2 linked regions of the Caenorhabditis elegans genome follow. The protein of the gene in region 1 binds, or shares a complex with, the protein of each later gene. Each region holds a gene or a part of one and is shown in the gene's direction. Other genes may lie near its edges.

The links. The genes of interacting proteins can lie anywhere in the genome.
Region 2: csn-6 (region 1) and csn-5 share a complex: the UniProt entries of both Caenorhabditis elegans proteins name them as parts of the CSN complex.

Annotation. Positions count from the first base shown.
Region 1 is NC_003282.8:13,299,101-13,302,858, forward strand, and holds the start of csn-6 (COP9 signalosome complex subunit 6), read left to right. Parts: upstream 1-1,723; 5' UTR 1,724-1,729; coding exon 1,730-1,991; intron 1,992-2,043; coding exon 2,044-2,444; intron 2,445-3,456; coding exon 3,457-3,758. Other genes in the region: micu-1 (Calcium uptake protein 1 homolog, mitochondrial), read left to right, coding at 1-70, 120-913; kdp-1 (KASH (Klarsicht/ANC-1/Syne Homology) Domain Protein), read left to right, coding at 1,088-1,525. UniProt on the Caenorhabditis elegans protein: Component of the COP9 signalosome complex (CSN), a complex involved in various cellular and developmental processes.
Region 2 is NC_003282.8:5,647,383-5,651,140, forward strand, and holds csn-5 (COP9 signalosome complex subunit 5), read left to right. Parts: upstream 1-2,150; 5' UTR 2,151-2,153; coding exon 2,154-2,219; intron 2,220-2,269; coding exon 2,270-2,523; intron 2,524-2,571; coding exon 2,572-2,954; intron 2,955-3,200; coding exon 3,201-3,604; 3' UTR 3,605-3,697; downstream 3,698-3,758. UniProt on the Caenorhabditis elegans protein: Probable protease subunit of the COP9 signalosome complex (CSN), a complex involved in various cellular and developmental processes.

The DNA of each region.
Region 1 (3,758 bases):
TTTTACAAGCTCGGCGAGAACGGTCTCATAAACTTCAGTGATTATCTGTTTCTCATGACTCTGCTCTCAAGTGAGTTTTAATACTCGTTTTTCTTTCAAAATATCATTGACTTTTCCAGCCTCTCACGCGGATTTCGCTCTCGCATTCAAAATCTTCGATGTAGATGGGAACGGTGCGCTGGATAAAGAAGAATTCACAAAAGTTCAACAGCTTATTATGTCCCAAACAACTGTAGGACAGCGTCATCGAGATCATATAACGCCAAACCAGTCGTTCCGTGTCGAGACAAACTCCGCTCTCGAAACATATTTCTTTGGAAAAGACGGAAAGGGGAGCTTGTCGTCTGAAAAATTTATCGAGTTTCAAGAGCGTCTACAACACGACATTTTAAAGATGGAATTTGAACGGAGAGATGCACTGGATAACCCGGATGGACTTATCAACGAAGATAGTTTTGCTCAACTTCTCCTTCTTCATGCTCAAATTAATGAGAAGAAACAGAAGCATATGTTGAAGCGGGTTAAACGAAGATTTAAAGGAGAAAATTTGAAAGGAATCAGTTTTGGAGAGACGAAAGCATTTTTCGAGTTTTTGTATCACATTGACGATGTAGATATTGCTCTACACTTTCATAAAATGGCTGGAATGTCGATAGATGCGAAGCTACTTCAACGAGTTGCGGTCAAAGTGACTGGAATACCTCTATCGGATCACGTTGTGGATGTGGTGATTACTTTGTTCGATGACAATTTGGATGGAAAATTATCACATGAAGAAATGGTTGCTGTGATGAGGAGAAGAATGCGTAGAGGTTTAGAGCGACCAAGAGATACTGGACTTTTCCGTTTGTTTGATGCAGTTCTGGAATGTGGAAAACGAGCTTATCACGCCAGTCCTCTTCCATTTTATTAGTGGTGCCCATGGCCACTGTAAATACTTGTTTATAAATAAAGCTTTTCATTCTTTTTAACAAATTATATTTGTTATGTTCATAAAAAGTGTTCGTTTCACTTTTCTTATCTTAATTTCATTTTTTTATTCTTTATTTCTTTCTCCACATTTTAAAACACATTTTTCAGGAAAATCATGTCGTTGGCTTTGAGAAAGACTTTGGGCGTCGCTCGCTTTTCCATGAGAACCGCCAGCTTCCAGGCTGTTCCAACCAACGCCGGAAAGACCCCACCAACCCTCGAACAATTCGATCCACTGAACCCAGGAGAGTGGCAACTCGGAGCCGGAGGAAAGATCCTTCCACGTCTGCCAGAGGGAACCAAATGCGGAAACCTTGTCATGGGAAAGTACGGACTCTACGATCCAATCCTCAAGAAAAGAGTTGATACCTACGCCAATGCTCTTCTCGAAGGAAAGAAGTCCGAAGAGGCTGGACCATTCGATGTCGCTGTCAGCAAGATCGCCAAGGTCCTTTCCTACATCTGCTTTGTCATCGCCATCTACAACCTCATCTCGTTGGTCAACGGAACTCCACTTCCACCACTTAGCCACGTCAAGGCTCCAGGATCCTAAATAATTTCCACTCGATTGCATTATCTCTTTTTTGTAGGAAGTTTTATGTTCTGTAAAACTTATGTCAATGTGAATCAATAAAATTCCCGTTTAGCTTGTTTTTCCACCAGTGAATCCAGGAATATTTTCAAAATTTCCAAATCATTATCTGGCTTGAAACAAAAAAACCGATTTCGAAACCAAATTTCGAAATAATTTTCAGAAATGGCATTGAACGCACCAAGCGGGAGCTGTAGCTCGAAGGTGCTTTTGCATCCTTTGGTTATTATGCAAATGTCCGAACACTACTCCAGAACAAAGGTCCAACAGGGTCCTACTGTGAAAAAAGTGTTCGGAGCAATTCTCGGACGGCAGAATGGACGACAAGTCGAGGCGATCAATTCATTTGTTCTGAAAATGGAGACAGAAGAAATGGCTGAGCCGGTTACTTTTAGCACGGAGCATCTCCTTCAAAGAGCAGATCAATGTCAGTTTTACTCTGTTCTTGCTCATTTTAGTTTTTTTTCCCCAAATTTCAGATCTGGAAGTGTTTCCCGAGCTCCAAGTTATCGGTCTTTATTGTGCTGGGGAGGATGATAATCTGACTCCCGAAGAGAAACCTCTTCTCTCAAAACTCACCAATGCGGTTCGCAATTCAGAGAAAGCCGGACAAATCGACGCGACACTTTTCCTTAAACTCAACTCTATCACTGCTGGAACCACTCGTAAACTTCCACTTTTCGCGTTTGAAGCAGACGTGACTGATCAGGAGAAGCATAAGCCAATTGAATGGATTTTAGTGTCGGAAGAAAGTGAACGTGTCGGTGTTAATCATATCGCTAAGTTATCAACGAAACATGGAAAAGACGGGAAATCAGTTGGAAAGAAACACGCGGAGGCTCAAGATGCAGCAATGAGCATGCTTCAGAATCGGGTTGATGTGCGTTCGAGAAATTGGAGGCCAGAAAAAGACAAAATTTCATAATGAGACTTCTGAAAATGCTGTTTAGCGGTTCAAAAATTTTAAAATAATACCTAAAATTCGCTAAAATGCATATTTCGATCTTATCTCGCATTAATTCGTTGATTTAAGACACATTTTCAGTCGATTGACACCTAATTTTGGAAAAAATGTTTGAAAAAAGTACCTCCATTTACTAGTAATTGCGAGCTAAACGACTAAAATATGTAACAACAGCTGCTGCGACATGAAAAGTTTGCGAAATTTCAGAATTTAGACAGTTTTGGCTCTTATTTTTTTTTGAAATTTTGACATACTTAAAAAGTTTATTAATATTATTTTGAGAAATCTCGTTATGAAAATCAATACAGCAGCAAACTAAAGTGGAATAGTCGAAATAGTTTTACTGCTTTATTAGACTCACAATTGACTGAAAACACCGAATTTCATAATGAAACTTCTTGAAAACGTCTCAAAAAAAAGTTATGACGGCTCAAAAAATAGCCTAAATGTAGTTAAAATTTGAAATTTGACCGACTTGTCAAGCGGCTGGAAACTAATTTTTTGAAATCTCCATCTAATTTTGAGTATAAAATTTAAATATCTTGCGTTTTCAACTTCATTTATGTATTTTAAAGCCGATGGACGGCGATATTTTTAATTTTTTTTTTACGAAATCTCGCCGTCCATCGACTTTAAAGTACCCAAATCGAGTTAAAAACGCAAGATAATGACATTGTATGCTCAAAATTTGACGGTGCTTTCAAAAAAAAAAATTGTTTCCAGCCGCTGCAACATTGCAAGACGGTCAAATTTCAAATTTTAACTAATTTTAGGCCATTTTTTGAGCCGTCATAACTTTTTATTGAGAAATTTTCAAGAAGTTTCATTATGAAATTCGGTGTTTTCAGACAATTTTGAGTCTAATAAAGCAATAAAACAATTTCGACTACTCCGCCTTTAATTTTTTTTACAAAAAAATAATTTTCAGCTAATCGTTGCCTATCTCGAAAAAGTGCAAGACGGAACACTTCAACCGAATTTTGAAATTTTGAAGGAAGCTAACTTGCTTGCTCAAAAGCTCAAAACCATTGATCGATATGCTGCTGAGTTCACTGATAGTTTCGAAAAGGAAGAGAAAACAATGACCGTATTCTCTCTGATGCCAAGATTGACAACTCTTCTCGGAAATATGCAAAATGTGTGGAACAAGTTGTCAGCTCAAAGAGCCGATCTTCTCGCCGACGATGGATTCCATGGAAAATCGACAAGCCGTTGGGCTCATCCGGTTCG
Region 2 (3,758 bases), 7.7 Mb from region 1:
GATATTTTTCAAAACTAAGTTTTAGAATTCTATGTAGTTTTCCGAAACACTAACCCGGAGTAATTGAGCGTGCAAAGTTTCTCGTTTTCTGTGACAAATCCACTCTTCTTAACATCAATAATTTCAATATTTTCCTTTCTAAAACACGAATTCCAATTGTAATAGGTGTACTGAATTGAAATATATCCACAGCTCCAGTTACAGTAAGATCTGTTATGTTGTGTTGTGGAAGAGATTCTATGAATAAAATTCGAATTTCTGCAAAATTGGTATCTTGAAAAAAGAGCATTGCAATTAATTGTATAAATGATGGAATGTAGATGAGAAATATGAGAACTTGAAGAATACATCGGGAGATCTCTTGATGTTTCATCACATAAAAACGGTATGCAAAAGATAGAAAAATGAGACAAAGAGCATGAGTGTGGAAATGTAGAAGGGCTCCGAATCTGGAAAAAGTTTTTTTGGAGATTTAAAAAATTGGAGTATTCTGTCATTGAAACCTATGCAAGAAAAAAGTTTGATTCAGGCGCATAAGAGAGCCTATAAGTGGGTGGAGACTGTTTTTTTAAACTATCTTTGTTGGGGAAACCTTTTTTTTATTAATTTCGATGGATTTAATTTGCTAAAATATGTGGAAAAATATATACTATAATGGAAAAATATTTCAAACTGCTTTTAGTTAAATTTTTCAAAAACTTTTTGGAACTAATTTTTAATTGATGTCCTAGGCTTCAGCAATCGTAATTTTGGATGTTTACCAAAAATAAATTTTTCTTTGAGTTTTCGAAATTATTAATTAATTTTATAAATTCTAAAATTTCAAACCTGCAGAGATCCATGAAATTTCTCAAAAAGGGAAAAGTTTCGCAAAAAAAATTTGGCAATTTGCCGAAACTCTGACTGAAATTTTTAAACACTCTATACATTTCTTAAGTGTATGTTTAGATTTTAATTTTTTTCATCGATTTAAAGGATTTTTAAAAATTCCTTTTGACAATGATCCATTTTTATTGTTTTTCTATAGTTCAAGACTTAATTTTTTTTAAATTTAGCCCTCTCCCATTTAAAAAATTTTTCATCTTACTAAACCCGTCCAAACCTCGTTTAAATAATGTTAAGATAAATATAAAAATAGGGCAGTAACAATTTGATCTACCTACATATAATTGTTTTTCAAATTTCTTCTGTTTCAAAAACTTCTTGAAACGGGAACATTTTTCCATTGACATTCATTTTTTTTTCCACGTCAAACTCACATATCAAAACAAAACTGTTCTCCTAAATTTGAGCAAATTCCATAGGAAATATAAAATAATTGTTTCCCAGCTGGAATAACTCGTTGTCCAATCAGAAATCCACTAAGACATGCTCCAAAATTAGTGAATGCCATGTTAATAATGACAATTGAGAATGTTCTTATAATAGACGGACTATGAAATATTGCCACGTGGAGGAGGAATAAATTAACACAATATCCTGAAACAGTCACCAACGAGTTGATAATCAGGAAAATTGCGGATAACATTTTTTCTGCGAAATGTTTTCTTGCTCAGCTTGTGGCTTTTATAAAACTTTTTGCTTGCAGTAGCAAGTATTCATGAATATTCTTCTGGAAGATTTAAGGGTCATTGATGAGGTTCAGTATTTTGTAGTATACATTCTAGACTACACCAGATTGATGATATGTTTCTGGAATTGAGCAAAAACCTTTGAACTGGAATGCCAACTTCTCTAAAAGGGATCCACAATGCAACAAGCTGGATAACCAGTCTTTAGGACATTTAAAACTTAAATATCTTATTCCGCCATAATCATTTTTAATACATTTCTCCTATTTATTTGTTCTTCTATGAAATCAAGTCTTCCAATTGTAGTACATCCGCTTGGTGTCGGTTTACGGTAAACAACGCGCACCAACGGAAAGTTGGAGTGTCGTTGTTAGAATAACAACAGATATTTTCTCATTTCAAATTTCAGATTTTTTTTAGTTTTTGTTGGTTTCAATCGATTTAAAAAAATTATAATCTGAGAATTACTTAATTTGTTTCAATTCTTCATGTAAAATCATCTCATTATCATTTTTCATGCCCTTATCGTCTTATTGATTGTATTTCTTAATAATATTAGCAAGGTAATGCTTTTTTCAGACGATGGAAGTTGATAACGTCAAGCCATCCAGCTCAGTTCCGCAGAGAAACTGGGAAAAAGAAAATAACGTCAGTTTTTCTTAAATATTTTTAGATTTTTAATATTATTTGTGTTTCAGGTCCAAAATGTCGATTCGATTTTCGAGTACAACAACAAGCAGCAAGTAGAAATCAGAAATGCAAAACCATGGGATAAAGATCCACATTATTTCAAACAAATCAAAATATCTGCAATTGCTCTTCTGAAAATGACAATGCACGCGAAAAGAGGTGGAAATCTGGAAATTATGGGACTTTTGCAAGGTCGAATCGATGCTAATTCTTTCATTATTCTTGATGTATTCGCTCTTCCAGTTGAGGGTACTGAGACCAGGTGAAATGATTTACGCTGGGAGTAATTTCGAACATTTTAAATTTCCAGAGTCAATGCCCAAGCTCAAGCCTACGAGTACATGACAGTTTATTCTGAAATGTGCGATACGGAAGGTCGAAAGGAGAAAGTCGTCGGATGGTATCATTCTCATCCTGGATATGGATGCTGGCTATCCGGAATCGACGTCTCAACGCAGACACTCAATCAAAAGTTCCAAGAGCCATGGGTTGCTATTGTTATTGATCCATTGAGAACTATGTCTGCCGGAAAGGTTGACATTGGCGCATTCCGTACATATCCAGAAGGATACCGTCCACCAGATGATGTTCCATCAGAGTATCAGTCGATTCCTCTCGCAAAGATTGAGGATTTCGGTGTACATTGCAAACGATACTACTCGCTTGACGTCAGCTTCTTCAAATCACAACTTGGTAGGTGAAATTTATATTTATCGGGAATGAATTACATAATAAAAATACGATAAAGGACAATCAACTGTAAAATCCAATATTCAAAGCTTTGTTTTTTGGATTGTTTAAACTTATTGGAATCGAATAGCTTGAAATTTTAAACTTTTAAAATAAGAATAATAATATTAAACATCTCAACGGGAAATTGGTCTCAATTGAAAAAGAAACATCTCCGATTCTTTCCCGTTTTAATAATTAAAATTCCAGACGCTCACATCTTGACTTCTCTGTGGAACAGCTATTGGATTTCCACTCTCAGCAGTTCTCCACTCTTCTCAAACGTCGAATTCCTCAACAATCAAATTCAAGACATCAATCAGAAGCTGTCGGCCGTCGATAAGAAGCTCCAATTGAATGACAGAAGTGTCGATGGACATGAAGCTTTGATGAAAGTCGTGACCGATGCAAAGGCAGTCGGAGATGAACTTGAAACTGGAAGAATCTCTCATCTCGTGAAACAACTATTGTTTGCTCGCCAAGCTGGTGGTGGCTGTGGATGTTCCCATGCTTCTGCAGGATCTCCAATGGATATCGCCGTGGCAACTGAACCCGAGAAGGCTGGTCCTTCTCCATCTGCTCCGGAGCCCGCTGTTGAGATGGCCGATGCTTAATTCTCGTTTTGTCTATATTTATAAATCAAGTCCCCCTGTTTTCTGTGTTAAATTCACCAACATCATTTTATTTGAATGAAATTTTTGCTTTTCAATGATTGATTTTTTCAAATTTATTTCCATAAATGAGAGATTCAAACGATATATGGACATA